Drosophila melanogaster: one gene and its partners. The protein of the gene in region 1 purifies or fractionates together with the protein of each later gene. This does not show direct contact. Each region holds a gene or a part of one and is shown on either strand. Other genes may lie near its edges. The genes, in order: crb, Patj, Ciao1 and Mbs.

Evidence for each region.
Region 2: the proteins of crb (region 1) and Patj purify together in Drosophila melanogaster (affinity purification with western blotting; 7 studies listed by BioGRID, with this or other methods). This does not show direct contact.
Region 3: the proteins of crb (region 1) and Ciao1 purify together in Drosophila melanogaster (affinity purification with western blotting, with the first as the bait; one study listed by BioGRID). This does not show direct contact.
Region 4: the proteins of crb (region 1) and Mbs purify together in Drosophila melanogaster (affinity purification with western blotting, with the first as the bait; one study listed by BioGRID). This does not show direct contact.

The regions. Positions count from the first base shown.
Region 1 is NT_033777.3:24,292,714-24,298,665, reverse strand, and holds the start of crb (crumbs), read right to left. Parts: upstream 3,589-5,952; 5' UTR 3,040-3,588; coding exon 2,802-3,039; intron 1-2,801. Other genes in the region: CG5715 (uncharacterized protein), read left to right, coding at 4,296-4,688, 4,745-5,239; Uck (Uridine-cytidine kinase), read right to left, coding at 5,422-5,537, 5,697-5,828.
Region 2 is NT_037436.4:1,796,308-1,803,231, forward strand, and holds Patj (patj), read left to right. Parts: upstream 1-2,495; 5' UTR 2,496-2,616; exon of another isoform or gene 2,617-2,646; intron 2,647-2,674; exon of another isoform or gene 2,675-2,702; 5' UTR 2,703-2,841; coding exon 2,842-4,392; intron 4,393-4,452; coding exon 4,453-5,517; 3' UTR 5,518-5,877; downstream 5,878-6,924. Other genes in the region: Cdc37 (cell division cycle 37), read left to right, coding at 1-530, 595-867; CG12020 (uncharacterized protein), read left to right, coding at 1,058-2,042, 2,107-2,222; JTBR, read right to left, coding at 5,928-6,386; CG42676 (uncharacterized protein), read left to right, coding at 6,903-6,924. UniProt on the Drosophila melanogaster protein: Involved in cell polarity establishment. Probably participates in the assembly, positioning and maintenance of adherens junctions via its interaction with the SAC complex.
Region 3 is NT_033778.4:14,853,363-14,857,725, reverse strand, and holds Ciao1 (Ciao1), read left to right. Parts: upstream 1-2,677; 5' UTR 2,678-2,766; coding exon 2,767-3,774; 3' UTR 3,775-3,863; downstream 3,864-4,363. Other genes in the region: CG33506 (uncharacterized protein), read left to right, coding at 1-213; HPS1 (Hermansky-Pudlak syndrome 1), read right to left, coding at 424-2,214; Ercc1, read right to left, coding at 3,924-4,112, 4,171-4,363. UniProt on the Drosophila melanogaster protein: Essential component of the cytosolic iron-sulfur (Fe/S) protein assembly machinery. Required for the maturation of extramitochondrial Fe/S proteins.
Region 4 is NT_037436.4:16,049,560-16,055,226, forward strand, and holds the start of Mbs (myosin binding subunit), read left to right. Parts: upstream 1-2,399; 5' UTR 2,400-2,615; intron 2,616-3,195; exon of another isoform or gene 3,196-3,445; 5' UTR 3,446-3,746; coding exon 3,747-4,001; intron 4,002-5,667.

The DNA of each region.
Region 1 (5,952 bases):
GCCCACGGTATCGTTGTTGGTGTGACTCAATGCTAACAATGGAATTTGTTGTTGCTGGCAGTACGCTGCGTATGCAAATAGCGACAGATAAAACGGCACTACGTGATCACCGCGATAAAGACAATCCAACGGACAGCATTGAACAACGCCCACAACTTTTAAACATTTGTTTGCATCGAATAAATTTTTGGAATTAATATCGTGTAAAAGCGAAAGCTGCCACTGTCTTTTCAGTTTAGTATAATATTTTCCCCACTATGTCATATTGTTTCTCACATTTGTGGTTTTTGTGCATCGGTAATTTCCCAAGGTGGCTGGCTAATCGATGCAGTCGCAGAAAACGTGGAACATTGCAAGGAGAAACTAGACAGAACTAAGCAGTTGTCTCGACTTAAAGTTACCTAATTACAACTTTCTATGCTTAGTCCAAAATCATACCAAGAGTCCACATCCCAATTATTTCGGCTATAACCAAAATTGGTCCTGAAATGTGCGCCCTGCATTCTCAGTATTGCATTCAATTCCACTTCCGCCACAATTCCCCACTCCCCACTAAGTACTGGGTAGTAAAGTACGCCCTAACCTTTAAAGGACTGGGGCAAATCAGTTCTTTTTCAGTTATACTCTGGCTATTTTTATAGACCTGGCTAACGACTTGCACTAATGGCCAACGTCAGGCAATGGTCGCGGCCGGCTGCGTAGGCCCACGGAACATGGCCCACGACCCGCGTCACGGCCGATTGCACTTTAACACTTGACCAGGTTGAAACACCGGACACCGGAGAGCGGAGAACGCGGGTGTGTCCAGCGTACAATTTCCATTCCATTCTCGATTTTCATTTATGTACGTGCCAGAGAATTTCCATAAACTCGCGGGGTCACGTGTTGTTATCGTTAACGCAATGCAGGTAGTTTCGGTTCATTTGTGTTTTCCCTCCACTTTTCCAGCGTGCCTAGTATACCTGTGCCGCGATTTTTCCCCTGAAAATGATGGATTATATCTGTTTAGGGCGGAAATTCAAACGAAAGCCGTACAGAAACCACTCTCGAAGTGAAGATGACGCTGATGATCTTCGCTGTCGGTGTCTGGATTTTACGATGGAAGCTGCCATAAACCAGTTGCTGTGATGCCTTTCAGGGATTTCCCAGCCCAGACATTCATTTTCTCTTCTTTTTATTCGTCGGTTTTCCTTGTCAATCATAAACCAAAGTCATTTGATAAATTCTACGATAAAAGGTATACGAAAATACAGGGCCTATAGAGAGGTTGGTTCTTTACAATTAAAAGAAAATGTGTTCATGGAAATGAATGAATTATAGCTCTTTATTAGGGCTTTTCACTCGTTTGGATTTTTTTTAATTATTAAGCTGAAAATTTGTTTACTATTAGCTTCAAGAGCTGATAAACTGGTTTACTATGTTTTCGCTGCACTCCAGGGCTTTCCCTACTTCGAGTTGGAAAACTCTTTCTCTATCTGTGCTCCCTTCTCCTGAGTGTTCTTCTTATCAACCTATCAACGGAATTGCGGTATTGCTGACGTTGAGTTGGCCGCGCTTTTGCAACTGTTGTACTTCACTTTCCGGCCAAAAGATAAGATTGCGCGTAACAACAGCCGGATGGCTGGCCGTTTGGAGGGTTGGTACTCGAATTGTAAATAAATAGACCCAATTTTTGAGGTCGTTTTTGCACAATCCGTTGGAAAAAGGGGGCAGACAATGCTAAGCCAGCCAAACAATTGAGCCGCGGACAACATGTAACAGAAAATTACACATAATGAGTCAGCAAGAGTTGTGAATCAATTATTATGATCGTTATGCGATAAGTTTCACAGATTTCACTGTTGTGATATCGCTAAAAGCGCTTTGAAAATGCAGACAAATGAGGTTTTATTACCAAAAAATCGCACCAGTATCAACAAATGCAGAAACAATAATTTGTTACGATTCCCTGTTATTTACCTAAAAATATGATATCCATTTGTAAGCTACAGTGTGTAAAAAATGCGGGTCACGTTAAAATATCTCTTCTGGTTTCAGTAATTAATTCTTCTTGGCCAAGATTGCTAACATTAACCGCCTTTGAAGCTATAATTTGATTAATTATCTCTCTCAGCGACTAAAGTTGTACTCTACTAAATATAAATTTATACGCAATCGAAGCTAATACATTTCTAAGCATTCCTTTTGTTTGCAAGATAAGACCGAGCACACAATCATCAAAAATTAGAAATGAGTGTATAATTAACACAATCAAACTTCAGGTAAGCCAGCTCCATGAGTCACTTCTTGAAGGAAAACCCGTTGAACGAGTTTTTCGTAGGCCCGAAATCATTGAAAATCCAAATTCCTTTTACCCAACATGACTTGGTCAACATCCCCAAAACACACGAATGCCCCACCACACACACACATGACCTGTTGCTCTTTTTTTTCGATTACGAGCTTTTGAAACATCAGCAAATGTTTAAGCTAAAGAATGCATGTGGCTCATCATATAAATTATTTACAGTGTGACTTCCGTAACTCAATCTCATTAACTCATTAATCATATGAGCAGCCAAAGGCTTAAACACAATAACAACATTACAAATTCCATTTAAAATGGGCATCTAATATACATTTTAATAATTTATAACGGGCAAGTTCAGTGCTGTGGAGTGATCACTGTAGCTTAAGAACCGCGTAAACACCGTGTTGCTCTCTCATGTCCCCATCTTCGCTCTCTCCTCCTGAATGTCCTCGACTGCCTATCGCCCTCCCTCTCACTCACTCGCTAGCTCCCTCTCAGGGTTCTCTCTCACCTGTTGCTAAGTAAATAAGTATGAAGAGCGGTATCCATTGAGGCGACGAATAAACTGAAATGGCGCGCTTGAGCAAATGCGACGTAATTTGAGCTGCGCTTTTCGTGCGGTCTCGACTTCTTGCTGTTGTTGTTGCTGTTTCTACTGATGCCGCCACTGTTGTTGTTGTGGTCGTTGCTGTTTCTGCTTGCCGCTGTTTTTGTTGTTGCGACAGTGACGCATTGGCGATTTTAGCCATGATCGCTGATTTGTTGGCTCAAGTCGAGTTTTCGTATTGGAAAGGGTTGCTTTTGGCTAGATATTATTGCTATTCAAACGATACTCATTGAGCTTGTTGTTGTTGGTAATTGCATTCTCCCTTCTCTCTGCTCCACGCAAACACTCATACGCACACACACACACGCGCGCAATCGGCACTTGGCTTAGAACAGGTTATTTTTATTTTTTTTAAGTTATATTCCTCTTTTTCTGCTAGTTGTATTATTTGCAAACTTTCGCACGCGACACTTTCTAGCCTGAATTTGAATATTGAGCACAGAGATTCCACTTTGAGCCAACTAATTTGCCATTTCTTCCCAGGCCACGATTCTGAATCACACCAACACACACACACACATACGAGCGCCGAAGACTTGGCTTAAAAGAGAGGTGCGCTGTTCTTGTTGTTGTCGCTGCCCTTTTGAACTGCAAGCAGCACACACACACGCGCGCGCACACACATTGGCCAAAACGGGGCGAAAAAAACGTTACGAGCGCGAGCAACCAATAAAACGTACGTACGAGCAGCAAGAAAAATGTTCGACCGTTTGAATCGGCGATATCCGTTTCGTGGGCTTATATATGGTGCAGTGTGACCAGTCCGCTTGGCTAGGTTTGGCTGGATTTTGATATAGAGTCAACATGCATGGCCACACTGATATTCAAGTTGCACAGTGGTACAATATGTACAAAAAAAATATTTTGTTCTTGAATTGATTTCGCACAAGAATTAAACCGTTAATTACATTTTCATAAAACTTTACTGATATAACTATTCAATATATCAATTAATATCGTGTGTATGTCTAGGTGACATTCCAAAATACACGAGCATAGTAAAGTTTAATTTATGGCGGGAACATGAAAACGTAAACTTCACTTAAATTACCAACGGCAGTTATGGGTTTTGTAAGTTGTGACCTACATCATCATAATCCAAATAGAATAAACCTTTTATAATACCGCAAATCTTAACTTGCGAAAATTCCGCACTGCACATATTTTCAAGTCGGAATGCATAAAAGTAAATTCCCCATAAATCAAGAAGCCGGCGGATAGCAACTACGTACTTAATGTAAATGTAAACGGCCACAAAGCGCCGACTTATCGTTTCAAAGAGAACTCAGCATAAACAGGCAGCACCGACAACATGTCGTCAATTTTTGGAGGTCTAGGTGGGACTATATAATGTGGGTAAGCCTGGTTAGAAATCACAGCAGTTGGGGAATTAGCAAAATGGGCAAATCGCAAAATAATACTGGTTCGCTTTTGCTACTGATTATACTGGGCATTTCTCTGGGAGATTCCATGCCCCTGGAGGATATGGACTCCCAGGAAATGATTGACTTGACAGATCTTGGAGATACTCTGTTCGGTAATCCGGACGTGGAGACGACTGGAGCTTTGGTTGAGGCACTCGGTGTGGAATCCCCGCTGAATCCCGAGGAGCTGGGAACCTACCACGAAGGTGACATCCTGATTCCACTGAGCTACAGGGACGCCCGATTCAATGGCACTCGTAATGGCATTTTGGCGCTGAGTTCCCGCTGGCCGGGCGGCGTTGTGCCCTACGAGATCAAAGGTCCTTTTACCAGCCAGGAATTGGGGAATATTAACCACGCTTTTAAGGTGAGGTTTCAGTAATAGTCCCTATTACAATTTACAAATAAGATTTTGTATCTTAGGAATACCACACCAAAACATGCGTGCGCTTCAAGCCCAGGACCACCGAAAAGGATTACATCTCCATTGGTAGCGGAAAGTCTGGCTGCTGGAGTAGCATTGGGCGCTTAGGTGGTCGCCAGGAAGTGAATCTGCAGTCGCCCAACTGCTTGCGTACATACGGCACTCCCATTCACGAGCTGATGCACGCCCTGGGCTTCTTCCATGAGCAGAATCGTCACGAACGTGACTCCTATGTGCGCGTGATGAAGGACAACATCAAGCCCGAGATGATGGTCAACTTCGAGAAGTCCAGTTCCAGGACACAGTACGGCTTCGGCGTGGAATACGACTATGGCAGTGTGATGCACTACTCCCCCACCAGTTTCACTCGGAATGGCCAGCCCACGTTGAAGGCACTGCGTGCCACATCCGATGCCAGCCAGATGGGTCAACGCAAGGGCTTCTCAGCCGGAGATGTGCGCAAGATCAACGCAATGTACAAGTGCAAGGTGTAGATGACAACTGCAGTCGAAGCATTCGGTAACAGTATTTTGACAAACATAAATATTTATCATCAACAATCAATTGTGTTTACTGAAAAAATATGTCTATGGGTACAATATTTGGTTAGATAATTAACAATCGCCTATGTGCGTCGTGTCTTGTACTGCTCCGGGAACTCTCACGCCATCCCATCCTAGTGGTACGGCAGGTTCTTATTTGTCTCAAAGAAATAGTTGCCCTGCATGTTGAGCTCCTTGCAGATCGTCGAGAATCTTCGGATGGCGTTGTACGTGCCGAGGTTACTTCCATCTTCACAGGGAAACACAAAGCATAACAGAAGATACTATATATACAGCACAGCAAGTGTCCGATTGCATGCATTGGTTGGTTGATTGGTTAGTAATCCGGATCATTCACTCCAGTCAGCGGATGGTTAGTGGGGACGCGCCTTTTGGATGGTGGCCTTACCTGGGCCCGCGAAACCGGCACCCGTCGCATTCAAATCCAGATTCATGTAGAGAGCCATGTTTCCGGTTGATCCGTGCCGAGATCGATTGTTTAAGAAGTCCCGGATATGCTGAACGATCAAATCGATGGCCACTGAAAGGAAAAGAGCGGACAATTAGTTCGCACTCAGTTTGGAAATATCAAATCGTAATGCTGCACCATCGTAAGCATTGCAACTCAATGTGGAACAATGCACTTACCTCGCTGCTCCTCCCGA
Region 2 (6,924 bases), on another chromosome or scaffold:
TCAACAAGAAGGCCGGCCGCAAGCCGGATGAGAATCTGTCCGAGGAAGAGCGAGAGCAGCGCATGAAGCAATTCGTCAAGGAGAACGAGAAGCTCTGCCAGCAGTATGGCATGCTGCGCAAGTACGACGATTCGAAGCGGTTTCTGCAGGAGCATCTTCACTTGGTGGGCGAGGAGACGGCCAACTACCTAGTCATTTGGTCCATCAACCTGGAAATGGAGGAGAAGCACGAGCTGATGGCCCACGTGGCGCATCAGTGCATTTGCATGCAGTACATTCTAGAGTTGGCCAAACAGCTGGACGTGGATCCTCGCGCCTGTGTCAGCTCCTTCTTCTCAAAGATCCAGCACTGTCATCCCGAGTACCGCGCGCAGTTCGACAGCGAGATCGAAGGTTTCAAAGGACGTATCCAGAAGCGTGCGCAGGAGAAGATCCAGGAGGCGATAGCCCAGGCCGAAGAGGAGGAGCGCAAGGAGCGCCTCGGACCTGGTGGTCTGGACCCAGCCGATGTCTTTGAATCCCTGCCCGATGTACGTTCTAGTGATTCACTGTATGGGAATTACTTGACTAACTTTTCATGTATTTGCTCCGCAGGAACTAAAGGCCTGTTTCGAGTCCCGCGACGTAGAGCTGCTGCAGAAGACCATTGCGGCCATGCCCGTGGACGTCGCCAAGCTGCACATGAAGCGTTGTGTGGACTCTGGTCTCTGGGTGCCCAATGCCGCTGACTTGGAGGGTGACAAGAAGGAGGAAGATGACTCGGATGACGTCGCCGGTGGCGAGGAGAAGACCGACGATGCCAAATCAGAGAGTGCAGCCAAGGAGGAGCCCATCTACACTGGCGTCAGCACCGAGGACGTTGACTGATCGCCGCCACGTTTCCATCTACACCATAGCTCTAATCTTAATGTATTTGTCCACAAGCATATTTCATCCATAGCCAGATCCTGCGTCAGTTGAGTTATTGTATATAATTTGAATAAATTCTCAGTCACACGTCAAACATTCTGTGAACACTTCTGCCAGTTGTTATACGCTTCGACTCCGAATAGAAACAATGAACCGGCCGGAGCTGGACTACTACGCGGTGCTGGATCAGCCCAGAGGCGCCACCAAGGAGCAGATTACTCTGGCCTACCGCCGCCTGGCCATTCGGCTTTGCCCACATCGCGACAAGAAGGACGAGCAGGACTTTGTGCCGCTGGCCCAGGAGGGTCGTCTCACGCACCTCTCACCCATGGGCGAGCCCAGGCAGTGGGCCTACGTCAACATGGCCTTCGATGTGCTGGGCAACGATCTGTACCGGGCCATATACGATCGCTTTGGCGAGGCGGGTTTGTTCGAGGGCGTCATGCTGCCGAACGGATACTTTCCGCCCTATCAGTACGACGGCGACCACATGAAGGTCTACGAGCGGGTCTTCGGTAGCTACTCGCCGTATGCCAACGTGATCGATGCGATCTCCAATCCACCGAGCTTGTACGCTACGCGCCAGCATGGCATTGGCGTGCGTTCCAAGGACGCCAGTACGGAGAGGATCATCGAGCTGTCGCTGGAGGAAGTACGCACTGGCTGCGTCAAGCTGATGAACGTGTGGCGCCAGGAGATCGTGGACGCCAAGGAGTCGCGGCTGGAGAAGCGCAAGCACACCTTAAAGCTGAACATTGCCCCGGGAACTACGGCCGGAACTCGCTTCTGCTTCAAGGAGGAGGGCGATCGCTATCCGGCCACCATTCCGGGTGATATTATTTTCATTGCCGCCGACAAGCCGCATCCGGACTTTGAGAGGAGAAACCAACACGACCTGGTCTACAGGCAGTCTATTGGCCTGTGCCAGGCCTTCACCGGCTTCACGTTCTTCATTTGCACGCTGGACCGGCGCCAGTTGAAGGTGGTCATTACGGACGTAGTGCAGCCGGGATACACCAAAGTGGTTCCCCTCGAGGGACTCCCCAAGTGCCGCAATTTGGATGCAGTTACGGCCATCAAGGAGGCCAACAAGAAGGTGGAGCAGTTCGGGGATCTCATTATAGAATTTGATTGTGGGTTTTCCTTTTCTGTTGGAGGTTTCAATAGTTTCTGATAGTTTCTCTGTTTCTTCTGCAGATATCTTTCCCAAGTACTTGACTCCACATATGAAGCATATCACTCGCGAATTCTTCCGCGAATTCCGCAAGCTCGAAATAGAATTGGAGGAGGAGGAGGAACGTAACATGGTTTGATGGCAGACACCTTATTGTTTTTCCGTATTTGGAACACAGATATTTGTGCGTACAGAGAAATTAAATTCAAAATTTGCGTTTAAAAGGATAGATGTTGTTGGGTTATTTCGTATAGCCATATTACATACGAGCACATGCAGACTATATTCAAAAATCTTAGATTTAATTAAATTAGCAGATGTAACGGTCGAATTTGAATTGATTTTGAAAAGGTGGCAACTGTTCCGATTATGTCGATTGCTTATCGATGCACAACGCAGCCGCTCGGCAACCCTGTCCATCAGCTGTTTGTGAAAAGAAAATGCATTTGGCATTCCATTTCAGAGATAATTAAAAATCAATTACAGCAGCAGCAGCAGAGCAAGTGGCCACCGAAAAGAGTGCATAGGAGAGGGTAAACAACTCGCTGCATCCAAACGGCACAGTAACTGATCCGAAGCTGTCCCACTTAGAGCCCAAATCGAATTACCCGTTTTGCAGTTTAGGACAAAGTGTGCCAACGCCACAACGCCCCCACCCAGAAGTCCATAGAAACGCCAGCGGAAGTGGGATAGAGACGGGGACCACGCTCCACTGACCGCACCGCGCACCGCTCGCTGACCACGCCCACTGACGCAAGATGCACCTCAGCGCGGATATTTCCAGCGCCCTTCAGCAGATCGAGGCAGTGAAGAAGGGCATCGATGAGTCCGACGACCCCAAGCTGCAAATGCAGACGGCCGAGAGCCTTAGCACCATTCTGGGCATTCTGCAGGATCCCGTTTTCCGCACCATCGTCCACGTGCAGGACTCGTTGTCCGAGCTGAACGCCCAGCTGGCTCAGCATCCGTCCATGTTGCCCAACGACTTCGACATCGATGTGGCCGGCAACCTTGTACTCAGTCTGAATGGTGGCGAGGTGATGTACGACTTTGACGAACAGCGCTCTTCCTCGCACTCCCATTCGGCTCCGGGCAGTCCAGATAAGTCCGGAGGCGTCGGCGAGGAGCCGCGCCCGCAGAGCCAGAACTCCAAAGGAGCCGGAGTGGCGGATCTCTACGCCACGGACTACGCTCAGATCCAGGCCATAGAGCTGGTCAACGACGGCACGGGTCTCGGATTCGGTATTATTGGAGCTCGCAACTCGGGAGTGATTGTAAAAACCATCCTGCCGGGTGGCGTGGCCGATAAGGACGGACGCTTGCGCTCGGGCGACCACATCCTCCAGATTGGAGACGTCAACCTGCACGAAATGGTATCCGAACAGGTGGCTGCCGTGCTGAGACAGTCTGGAACCCACGTCCGCCTAGTGGTTGCCCGTCCCGTTGAGCAGAGCGTGCCTACGCCCCAGTACGCCCTGGAACCGGGCACTGCTGTGGTGCCCACGCGCGTCCTCGTCGATCCTGCCGAGCTGGAGCGGTACCTCATATCTACCGGCTATCCGGAAATCTTTGGCGAGAGCTCCACGGCCTCCACTCCGCAGACCACCACGGAAGACGATCGTTTCGTTTATCGCGGCGAGACATCAATGCTTATTGATCCAAACATCGACCTAGAGGAATTGCTTGCCCTTCCTGAAACGGAGAAGCTTCAGGTGGAGCTGAAGAAGGATGCCAACGGCCTGGGCATCACAATTGCCGGCTATGTGTGTGAGAAAGAAGAGCTGTCTGGCATTTTCGTAAAGAGCGTGTCGCCCGGTTCAGCAGCGGACCTGAGTGGTCGCATCCGGGTCAACGATCGCATCATTGAAGTTGACGGCCAGTCGCTACAAGGCTACTCCAACCACCAGGCCGTAGAGCTGCTTAAGAAGTCTGGTCAGGTGGTGAACCTGCGCTTGGAACGCTACCTGAGGGGCCCCAAATTCGAGCAGCTGCAGCAGGCTATCGCTGCGAATGACAAGCTTCCATCCAGTGCACCTGGAACGCCTTCAAGGGCTCCCATGCCCACGCCCGTGGCCACAACGTCCTCCGCCACAACTACACCATCACGCAGCATCACTCGCGAGTTGGAAGAGGAAGCCTTACCAGCGCCAGAAGCATTCATGACCACTCCGCCGTCGGTCACCACAATGACCACCACCACATTAAGCTCCTTTGGAGCGGGTAAGCAACTAGTAGCAGTAAGGGACTCCCTAGACGGCTCCACGAAGATCATACCCACGGAAGTTGTACCCTTGGCGGATAAAACGGAGGTGAGTATTAGCTAACGGGTAACACAGCAGCAAAACGTATAGCGCATTAACATGTTTTAGGCCAAGAACAGCGGGGTGATCACCCGTCACAAGTACTACACCGATCCGGAACTGTCCGACGACGCCGAAACCGAAATTATTCGCAAATGGCAGAAGATTGTGGGCTCCGATGTGGAGGTGATTGTGGCCCAGATCAAGAAGTTCGCGGTCGGAGGCTTGGGGATTTCCTTGGAGGGAACCGTGGACGTAGAAGGAGGGCGCGAGGTACGACCCCATCACTATATTCGTTCAATCTTACCTGATGGACCCGTTGGCGTGAATGGAGTACTCCGCTCTGGCGATGAATTGCTGGAGGTAAACGGCGAGCGGTTGCTGGGTATGAACCACCTGGAGGTGGTGGCTATACTTAAGGAACTGCCGTTGGATGTGCGCATGGTTTGCGGTCGCAACAGGAACAGCTCGCTTCTCCCATTCTCTGATGACACCCTGAAAAAGCTAAGCAACAACTTTGAGAACCTGCTGCCTGCTACCGATCGTCTGGTGAAGGCCAAATCAGATGGTAGTCTGGCCACCGCGGGCTCCGTGGCCGATGGAGATTCAGTGGCTGCCGCCGCTGCTTCGTTTAGTAAGCTGAAGTCGCGCTCCCTGGAGCCACTAACCGGATTGGCTATGTGGTCGTCCCAACCGCAAATTATCGAGCTGGTCAAGGGCGATCGCGGTCTGGGCTTCTCTATTCTGGATTATCAAGATCCGTTGGATCCCAACGATACGCTGATTGTAATCCGTTCTCTGGTCCCTGGAGGGGTGGCTCAATTGGACGGACGCCTTATACCCGGAGATCGACTTTTGTTTGTGAACTCCATTAACCTGGAGAACGCCTCGCTGGATCAGGCAGTGCAGGCTTTGAAGGGTGCTTCGAAAGGAGTGGTGCGCATTGGTGTGGCCAAACCACTGCCCATGACGGACAACTCACTGAAGGCTTGCAGCAATGCGAGCACCACCAGCGAAGAGACCTTGGACGCCCAGCCATCGCCTCCAGCCTTGCCCACAGTTGCTCCGCCCGCCATGCCGCCTAGTGCCTCCATGGGAGCTGAGCCCGACCTGATTCCCGACTGGCGGAACTAGGGTGTTACGATAACGAAGAATTTCACACATTCCAGGCATTTGAATCTTTAAGCCTGTTTTAAATCAAATCAAACGCGGTTGCTAACTAATGGATTAGTTAATCGATATTTTCTACGAATATGAACAACAGGCAGTAGAATCTGAAACGATGTCAGAAACGATGCCAGAAGTACAGGAGCGATTGTTATTACCGAAGCAAAATGTTATGCATATTATTAACGCCGAATTGTGTTTGTCCCCTGAAAACAAGCATTCCACAAGTATGCAATATATTAAACCCCCTAGTATTAGCAAATGAATTTTAACATGGTATTTCCAGAGTGTATGTACTTAAACTAAATTAAATAATGTACCTTCCGTACGGTCAATGAGTATCACTTGGGGAAGGGAATCGATGATTTGGCGGAGGGCTATTGGACCCGGTTTAGCTGTCGCTCGATTCTCATGTAGTTGCGCCTGGACAGGACTCGATCGCGGGCATAACTGACCAGGTAGCTAAGTAATCCGATTACAAAGCACGAGACCTCAAATTTCAAGAAGTTCATTTGCTCGATGAGCGCCACCCGGTCGCAGCTCCTGGTTACGATCTCGCCGCTCTGGCAGCGCAGCACCTCCTTGTAGTGCGTGTGAATGCAGACGCCCAAGCTCCGGCTGACTATATCGAATTCGGAGCACGGGTGGCACTCCTGCACCATCGTGTACTTCTCATTCCGCCAGCAGGTCGAGTTGTCCTCGATCACGAATTGCGGCTCTCGGCGACGAGGACCATCTGCCGCGTAACGAGATTCCACGAACAGGACGAGTATGGTGACCATCGTTAGGGCTCCTAGTCCAAGGAGCATGTGGTGACGCTGACAGTTCTCGAGCATTGTGAAGGCGGGCAGCTAACTCTTGTATCGGATCAAGTGCTGGAAACAACCTGGAAGAACCTATGCATGCTCAGTAGGTGGATAACTCCAATACATATGGACGGGATTACTCGAAATCCTATTGCTTTGCTTTTCCCCCTATGAAATCAGCTTTACTGTGTGACCAGGCGAGAGTTTTTATTTTTGTTCAGCCGTCTTTGGAACTAGTTCTTGCTTGGCATTTAAGATTATATATTAAAAAAAAATTGAATTTGCACATGCATAGATTTCGTAATTTAGATAAAGCGTTAAATTAAGGGAGAAAATAATATTTTTCGAGGAAATCTTATAAGCCGCGTATTCCGCTCCGATTCGCGGAACTGCAGATGTGTGGCCAGACTTCGGGGAGCTCGAAACTAGTTCGCTGTTTACGAACGACAATAAACGGAGACCAAAACAATTACGGAGGACAAGCACAAAGCGGACTTGAGAAATTTGTGAAAATTTTTATAAATCGCGTGTGTGGGCGCTTTGAAAATGGTGCTGCGATCGGGAATCA
Region 3 (4,363 bases), on another chromosome or scaffold:
CCCCAACTTGTGGCAGCTGGAGCTAGCTTTTACGACAAACATCTAAAGAAGAACATCGCGCTGAGGGAGCTGATTGGAAATGACGTTTACACTGCACTGGGCAACGAAAACTATATGATTCGGCAAAAGTCCATGCCGCTAACAGCACGAAAATCTTTCTTCCTGGAGAAGCTGGAGGAACTCAAAAAGGCGCAACAGCCTGAAACAGAGTAAACACACATTTATTGTTACATTTTTATTGCCGGTTGAAGAAAATATATATGTTTCCAATAACTTTACAAATATCCTTGTTGTGTAGCCTATAACAGTGGATGATAGTTGTCCTAAACCTAACAAAATTTCGAGTGGATTATCTCGCCTAGGAGTCTCGAAAATTGACTAGAAATCATGTTATAAATCTGGAATGACCAATGGCCAATGCACTTAAAACGCTTCCTCGCCCACAACATCACTGATGGTGGCCACCAGGCGACGTGCATGCTCCACGGCGCATGTGGCGGTTACCAGTCCCAGATGAATGCAATACAACTCGTAGACGCGCACTTTGGCCGGTGACAGCTTGGGGAAGCACAACTCCGCCAGATCGTGGTAATAGTCCATTGTAAGAGCACCTGGTTCTGTTGGGGATTTCGAACCGTTGCCACTGGCTGCTCCTGTGGACAGAAAGTGGTGCTGCAAATCCACGACGGTACTAAGAACGCCACCAGACATGTCCTCGAACCAGAGGAAGTACGAGTAATGGAATGCCTTATCCTTCCACATCACTGTGGTCTGGCCCTTCTTAAGGTAATTTCTCGCGATCTCCACCATGCTCCAGAGTTTTGTCTTTGGCACCAGCTGGTTCGGTCGCAGATCCGGAGCAAGCATTTGTCCTCGGCTGCGATTGACGTACATAAAGTGCACCAGACCCGGAAAATCCTCCAAATAAGCATCAATGGATATGTTACGAGTGGCCTTAACGGCCAGAAATTCAGCGAACTCCAGTAGCTTGGCTTCCACATTCGCTGCCGTATCAGAGAGTTGATCCAGCTCATGGACACTTGAGCTGTCGCAGCAGGCCAGTGTGAATATCTGCTTCAGTTCCTCTCCGAACGAGGGCAAATTCGACTCAATCCTCACGAGCAGCTCCCGCTCAAAGTTCTTGAAGTACTCAGTGTACATCTTGCGAAGATTCTCCCATTTAGCGGCGAACTTCTTCGTGCAGTTCTCTAGGTCATCGGTTTCCGATCGCTGTTTCAGATATCGCTTCAAAGCGGTCAAGGCCTGCACAATAAACGATTCGAGGTTCTCGAAGGCGGGCTTCAGGGCATCCGAATCGCCCTGATGCTGAACAGCCACGATTTTTTGAAGCACAAAGAAGGAATCGTAGATGCAGCTGGTCAGTGGCATGTGGGCGTACTCGATGACCTGCAGGAGAACTTGGTTACCATGGAGACGCGAGATGTGCACGATACTGGGAACGCAGCCAGAGTTCACATCATAGGAGACACCCTGCAGGAATACAGCTACTGCTCGCTGGGAAGGGGACTTTGGCGCTTGCAGGGCGCGTGACATGAGGCTGAGGAAGAGTAGGTCGGCGGCAGCAAGCGGCAGAGCTTGCCGAGTGCTGTTCGCGGCCACCAGCTTGTTGGAAACGAGCAACAGGGCGTGGGCTCGGGGCAGTCCGAGCTGGCGCAAGTGCTCAAGCGTGGCGTCCAGCGTCAGATGCACTGTCCTCTTTAGTTCCGTGTTGATCAGCAGCCTGGGCATGGCCTCCAGCAGGTACGTCTGATCCTCCTCCCACAACAAAGTCTCATAGCAGTCGAGGCACTGCGTCAGCAACTCCTGTTGCATGGCCCCCGCCTGGGCGGCAAACAAATTGGCGCCGTAACAATAGCGCGTCAGCGTAATGGCCACACCCATTTGGCGACCCAGCAGCTCCACGGGTATTTGTCCGATCTTCAGAAAGGTGAAGCCAAGAAGTTCGCCGAACACCAAATTGAAGCCTTGCTCACACTGCAGGCTGGAGTAGGCATTATCGAACTGGCACTGCATTATTCGCTGAGATCCAACGATGGGGCTGAAAATCTGCAGCAGTATGTTGCTGTCCAGGGAGCCGCCGGACTGGAGCAGGCCCTGGGTGGTGGCCACACTCCGGATCTTCTGCGCCAGCGGCTCGTTAAGCTTCTGGTATACAACATCGTTGGCGCTGTTAAACACAATCAGTCCGTTCATTTTCTTATCAGCATTGGCAAAACACCAAATACACAACAAAACTTTCACCAGTGTCACTGGTGCTGGGTAACGGAATTCGGTGTGTGTTCTGATAAGAAAAGGTGAAGACTTCAAGTCAGCATTTAACAACACTAGAGCGATTCAGCTCTGAGCAATTCAACGCTTTTCAAGCCAGAATTATATATTAAAAGCCTAGTATACGTTCGACTTTTTTTATCCGAATTGCCAATTGAAATTGCTTTTAGTTGAGTTACTAAGTATTGAACTGTAATAAGTTTCCTGATCAAATTAATTTATAATTTATAATATATGAATTTTCAAATTTATTGCATTTTTTTATTATTGCAAAGCAATATCGCTTTGCTTAGATATGAAGAACACAATTTTAAAATTTAATTTTATCCCGATTTACAAATTAAGCTAGATGAACGACTTCTGCCGACGTTTGACCACACTGACGACAGCTGACTTTCTTCTTCTTGCGACATGCGCTTATGTTATCATTATTTGGACAGACAGTGATTTGTCCACTAATACAGCACTTGACCATCAATGGGACGTTTAATTCTGGAACACACGCTGCAGGGCCACAAGGGGCGCATCTGGGGAGTGGCATGGCATCCTAAGGGCAACGTATTCGCCTCGTGCGGCGAGGACAAAGCCATCCGCATTTGGTCGCTGACCGGGAACACTTGGAGCACAAAGACCATCCTATCCGATGGCCACAAGCGCACTATTCGCGAGATCCGATGGTCTCCATGCGGTCAGTACTTGGCCTCGGCCAGCTTTGATGCCACCACGGCGATCTGGTCGAAATCCTCGGGAGAATTCGAATGCAACGCAACATTGGAGGGTCACGAAAACGAGGTGAAGAGCGTTAGCTGGTCGCGATCCGGCGGACTACTGGCCACCTGTTCGCGGGACAAGTCCGTGTGGATCTGGGAGGTTGCCGGCGATGATGAGTTCGAGTGCGCCGCCGTTTTGAACCCGCACACACAGGACGTGAAGAGAGTGGTGTGGCATCCAACCAAGGACATTTTGGCCTCCGCCTCGTACGACAATACCATAAAAATGTTCGCAGAGGAGCCCATAGACAACGACTGGGATTGCACAGCCACTCTTACTTCACACACAAGCACGGTTTGGGGCATTGACTTCGATGCTGATGGCGAGCGCCTGGTTTCCTGTAGCGATGACACCACAATAAAGATTTGGAGGGCCTACCATCCCGGAAATACAGCCGGAGTGGCTACGCCCGACCAGCAAACCGTGTGGAAGTGCGTGTGCACAGTGTCCGGGCAGCACTCGCGGGCTATCTACGACGTGTCCTGGTGCAAGCTTACAGGTCTGATAGCGACTGCCTGTGGCGACGACGGCATTCGTATCTTTAAGGAGAGCAGCGACTCCAAGCCAGACGAACCCACGTTCGAGCAGATAACCGCGGAGGAAGGCGCTCACGATCAGGACGTAAACTCGGTGCAGTGGAATCCTGTGGTGGCCGGGCAACTGATATCATGCAGCGATGATGGCACCATTAAAATTTGGAAAGTGACCGAGTAACATAAGGATTATTGTTTGATATATTTAAGTGGGTAATTCTGGAACTTAATTTTTGTACAGTGTCTGCGTAATAAAAAATTAAAGTATTCAAATGATGGATGAAGTGTGTCATACACGATTATGGGATGCATTACACCTAATATGGATTGCTATTTGCTGAGGAACGGTTCCTGCAACGTTTTGTACAGCTTCTTGGCCTTCCGGGGACCCAGTCCCATCACCTGGGAGAGTCGCTCCTCGCTGGCATTGATTATGTTGCCCAGGTTGCCAAAGGTGTGCAGCAAGGCGGCAGCATCAGTCTTGTTCACCGGCTTGATGTTGGTGAGAGCAGCGAGTAGCTATGGACATTGGGATATTGCATTACAGTGGCGATACTGGCAATGTAAACATGCGTACCTTCTGGTGTGGATTAGACTCCACTCGCTCCATGATCAAATCTGGCGGACGCTTCTCGAACTGTTTGTACGTCTCAATGATTTTGCCCGCCTCCTCAGCGTTCCAGGCCAACATCATTGTCAGGTCGGCTAACAGTGATATCCTGGTCAAGCTCTTGAGGGCATTGTTTGGCTCTGGTGTGTCCACCTGGACC
Region 4 (5,667 bases), on another chromosome or scaffold:
AATAATTTTATTCATCATTTTCAGGGGAACACCAAGTGAACTCATCAGTGAACTACTATTTGAAGTAAGGAATTTGAGAGGTTATGACATTACTCAAGTGACCTAATTTCCTGTGAAACCATCTAGTCACCGTTACTAGGTATAGATTAGACTTGCCAGTTGACAGTTGTTTTAAACAAATATCTCACGAATGAATGACGCAAAACAGAATGCAGCGAGGATATATGAATTTCGTTCTAGTAAAATAAGTGAGGTAAGCAACTGATGCTATAGGCAAAACCCCATCAATCATAGGAACCTACGCAGCGCTGTAAATGGAAATGACATTGAGCGGTAATTAGAAATTGGAAAATTCTAGCTAGTAAACGCGTTCCACGAATGGGTGGGTTTTGCAGCATGGGGGTGGTGTTGATTTCATCATGAATGAAATGCGATGCGAATGAGCTCAGCATCGGCGGAGATAAAAGGTACAATCTTAGTTAATATCCAGGCAGAAACATGTGCGACAGACAGATTTCATTCCAACCCATCCCTCAAAATGACAAGCTAGCACAAGAGCGAATAAGATAAGACGGGATCCTGACATATGCCTAAGTATGTATGTACATGTGTATCTCGGCCTCCAGATTGTTTTAGAAATCACTAGAAAACGCCAGAGAGCGGAGAGCGAGATAGGGAGAAAGGGGGAGAGAGAGAGAGTGAGAGAGGGAGGGATAATGGTCGTGTCCCTGTTTATGTGGGGGTAAGGACATGAATGAAAAAAGGCGTGTTGGAGAGAGAAAGGTAGACAGGCGGCGCCTATTTGTATGCAGCATAATTCAAGTATAGTAAAGTAAACCCATTTTGTTTTTTCTATAAACCGCGGGAAGATTGAACACACATATTTATATTTACTTACCAGAGACATTTTAAACAGTGATAACGTATCAGTTTATCATTGGTTTTTTTAATGCCTTTTTTCGGCCACCAAATCGTTAATTGTTTTCGTTCACCTCTTATCGCACCACGATAAGATTATAAAATCACTTAAAATAAGTTTTGCTGTATAAAATGTTTACACAACTGTGCTCACGTCGACTGGTGGGTTTGAATGCCGTGCAACGACTACGCCAAAGCTATGTGCCTATATAGCTCACTTTCCTATAGGTATTTGTTTTGTCGGTTCTGCGTTCTCGTTTTGTTTTGTTTTGCTTGGCTTTCTAGTGAGCGAGAGGGTGCTGGCGGGGGAAAGAGAGAGAACTAGCGGGGCGGAACGGTCGAAATAGTTTTTTGCCGCCCAAGCGATGCGCAATTATTTTTGGGGGTGGGATGTCCGCACTTTCGTTGGCTATTCCAGCTGTGCGTCTCTAAACTGGAATGTTTTTTTTAAAACTTTTTTAAGTTTAATTAATAACTATTTTGCAAGCTATTTATATTTCTGAATATATTAAAATTTCAAAAACAAACAACTGTCAGCACACGAAGTCGTAGTTTTAAATAAATGCTAAATGGGGTCACACTGTTCAAGGTGCTTGGCTCGCTGATGTATCGATACGCGCTAAAAAGATATCGATAAGATGCATCAGTGGGATCAAGTCTACGCTAGGCCGTCAGCAGCGTTTTCAACCAACATTTATCGAATAAAACGGTTTGGAAATCGAAACGGTAGTTCAGGTATAACACATATACAAAATTGAGCCACTTATAGAACAAGGGTCTGTTACCCGGTCCAGTAACACCGCGAAAACTGAGCTTATTTCGATTCATCAGAATTAGAGCCCCTAACATTTTGTCTTGATTTGACAAAAAAATTAGTGGAACAAACAGAAGAACCTTCGGCATACCGAGAACTCCCAGTAAAAACAAAATACTTTGATCAGTTTGGAAATTTATTTTAACATCAATTGTTTGTTGTTTCGGTTTAATAAACTTTCGAGAATTCTTAGTATCAAACCAGGAATAAATACAAACAATTGAGGGAAGCCACAATTAGAGAAGTTGACCAAAAACAGCATTTTTTGAGTTTGAAAGTAAATTGATTCTGTTGTATCCTCTTTTTCCTTTTTGTGTTTTATATAGATAAAATTAGAAACGGTATTAATATATTTAAAAAGTTGTTTGAAAATTGCATTGTATGTGTTTTTGAGGCACATCAAATATATCGATAGATATGGCCGCATCTATTTTTGAACTAAATGTAAAGAATTGGATGCAAAAAGAACGCATTTCTCCCGAATGGAGTAATAAGACGAACAATTACGAATACCCTAAAATAATATTGATAGTTTAATTAACATCGTTAAAAATATCGGTCCATAACAGCACTGCTAAGTGTTAACATAACTAAGACGCCATCTACAATTTTGTGAGCGGCGTTAGTGTGACCAGGCGAAAAGAGTGCTAAATATACCGCGCATTGCCCTCCGATTCACATCGTCAAAAAATTTTGGTCTGTGAACTTCGTGCGGATGAAATTCGATTTGAACGCCACCGAAAATATGCAAAATAAAGTGAAATACCAGTGCCTCGCGGACGAGGAGCGCTTCAGCGGAGAGTCCTGCAGCCATTAAAGCCCAGAGAGCACTGAAAGTTCTGGGAATTTCGCGGGAAAGGTGCGTTTTTCGCTTGGTCTTTCGGTGTGTGTGAAAAGTTTCTACTGCAATCCATTTTTCTCTACGTGCGTGTGCGGCATACGTGTGTATGTGTTGCGTCTGTGTGCGAGGCGAGTGAATGTGTGTGTGAGTGTGGAGTGGAATGTAAAATGTGGGGCGATGTAAAAATGCCTTTACATAAGTGCACTCGCATTTGCAAGGATTTTGTGCAATACCGCCATCCTGCCAAATTACATAAAATCATCGCATTTCAGTGCGTGAAAAAATACGCGGTTTCCATTTTTGTTCTATTTACTCGCGACGTCAGCGTCGCGGCTGTTGAATTTATGTCAAATTGGTAACACACACACATGCAGGCTCAGCCATTCGCGCTCTCCGTATGCAAGCCCTAACTGCATGAGTGTGTGTGAGCGGCAGAGAGAGAGAGAGAGCGCGAAAGGGAGAATGATAAACAAAGTGTAAAAAAAACAAGCGGCTGCTAAAATGCCCGCAAGTGTTTTTAATTGATATGAAAATGTGTTTGCTTAACACTATGTAGCCCAGCAGCTGGTGGCTCTAAATAAAGCATTTGCAAAATATTAATTTCTCCTATCGTATTTCTTAGTTTTTGCCCCATCCTCTTGTGTAATTTCCATTGAATGCAACAACAAAGGTGCGCGTTAAACAACAACAAATAGCATTGTTTTGCGGGAGAGCGAGTGTGAGAGAGAGAGAGCGTTCCTGATTGCGACATTGTGTGAGTGAGCGGAGAAGAAAACGCCAAGAAGTTGGCTGATAAAGCAAACGCACACGCACGCACGCACGCGCACACACACGCAAAGAAAATAGAAAAATCGTAAAATAATAATAATCAGCAAGCAGGAAAAGAAGAAGCAGCAGCAGCAGCAGTACAAACAGCAAAAGTGTAGTCGTGATCGAAAATCGAAAGTGTGAAGCATTTTCTATAAATAGTGCAAAATCAAAACCCAATTCCCATTGCAAACAAAAGCGCAATAAAGCAATTACGATAGAGCAATAGCGATACAACAGCGCTACATACAAAATCTACACACATCTGGAGCAGTCGAGCGATCTCACAGAGCGCGTGCTCTGCAGCAAGTAGCAGGATTATCTGAAGGAGCAGATCGTTCGTCTGGCCAAGAAGGATCTGCCAAGATGTCCTCGCTGGACGCACGCAACAACTCGGCGATGATGAAGCGCGCCGAGCAGCTGAAGCGCTGGGAGGAGTCGGACACAAACCGCGCCGCCCCCACCCCCCGGCACGAGCACGGCCGCAGGATCAAGTTCAGCTCCGGCTGTGTCTTCCTCGCCGCCTGCCTTTCCGGCGACAAGGACGAGGTCGTCCAGCTGCTCGACCAGGGCGCCGACATCAACACCGCCAACGTCGATGGACTCACCGCCCTGCACCAGGTAAGTCTGCCAGTAATCATCATTCTTTCACACTTAGGAATAGTCCTTATTGGGTGGTAGAAAATGTAACGTTTGAATGGTTATACTTTGCTCAACTAGTCAATTTGTAAATAAATTTAAATTAAAGAACATACAATAAAATAAAATATATTTTAAAGCTATCTTTAAAGATATAGTACACAGATAGAAAACATAAAACATTCGCTAGAAGAAAAGAAAAAGACAACAGTCTTTTAGTAGGTATTGATAATTCCCACTTAAGTAATCGTTTGCAAACAGACATTATTTTCTTGTTTGGGTAGAAGTGGCGAGTATTAGCAATTCTATCAAGGGTTGCATTTGCAGCAGGTGCAATTTCCAGTTAATTAAATGTGAATATTCACACTGCATCCCCTATCACCAGGGATTGATTTCCCACTTTAGAAGGCGGCTAGGCGTTGCGTCAGTCTGCTGCAACTGCGATCACGCGACTGGGCGAGGGGGTGGTGGGTGAATTGGGGGCGGGGTTGGGGTGGAACGGGCGCAGGGAGCTGCAGTTTCGACACTGTTGCGTTGCGTCCAACTGTGGTGCTGACGTGAATCGCACTGTGGGTCGAATTCCATGGGGTCATGGGATCAAATTATTAAAATGCTACAAGAATATCTAGCAGCAAACGAAAAGTATTACCTTATTGTTTCGTAAGGATTAACCATTTAATTTTTATGTATACTTCATTTAACTTAAGAGCGTTTAAAGTAAAACAACAAATTAAAATATAAAGAACAAATTACTAAATTGATTAATTTTACAAGATTTTCCATCGAAGAAGATAAAGAACACAGCATTATGACACATTGACGTTATTATTTAGGAATTTTTATAGGATATTCAATCAAGGTCAAGAATGATCCATCCTGTTTAGACCCACTGTGCAGCGCCGTTCGCTAGACGCTCGACCATTATTGTTGTTGGGTATTTCGTGCTCTTTCGCCGCCGCAACAATAATTCGAATTTCGAATATTAACAAATACAGCAAATACATGGCTAATGCAAGCCGACGATTTACAAGTCGAATGGCCAGAACGGCATAGCCAACAACAACAGCCACAAGCAAAAGGCAAACGGCCAAAAGCATTAAATAAGAAAAATACAAAATGTTCTATTTTTAAACACCCAAGAAAAACATACAAAACCCATACACACGAAAGCGCGTTTACATATTGAAAGCCCAAAGATTTTCGCAAAATCATTTTCAGTTTTCCTCCAATTTGCTTGACTCGATTTTGTGGCATGTCGAAGAATAGGAATTTAATGATACTTTGCCGGCACGAAAATGAAATAAAAAGCTTAAATTTTCCGTACCTATCATGGAAATTCGTTCTATTGTTATGCACATGATAATATTGTAGATTAAGACAAGGACTATTTAATTAATACAAAATAATAGGAAGAACAAATAAAGATTTGCGATTTGCGGTTTATCATTTGATAACTATTTAATGGAGAGTTTATTTAACCTTTAAAAAATAGTTAAAATAGTATCAAGAATACAGAAATATTTTGTGGTACTGTTTTAAAGTTATTTATTAGAATTAATTAATTCCCATGGAATTAATATACAAATTTCTTAGTCCACTCCCATCTTGCGCTCACTGTACTCTCAAATTTAATTTGGCATTAGCTATA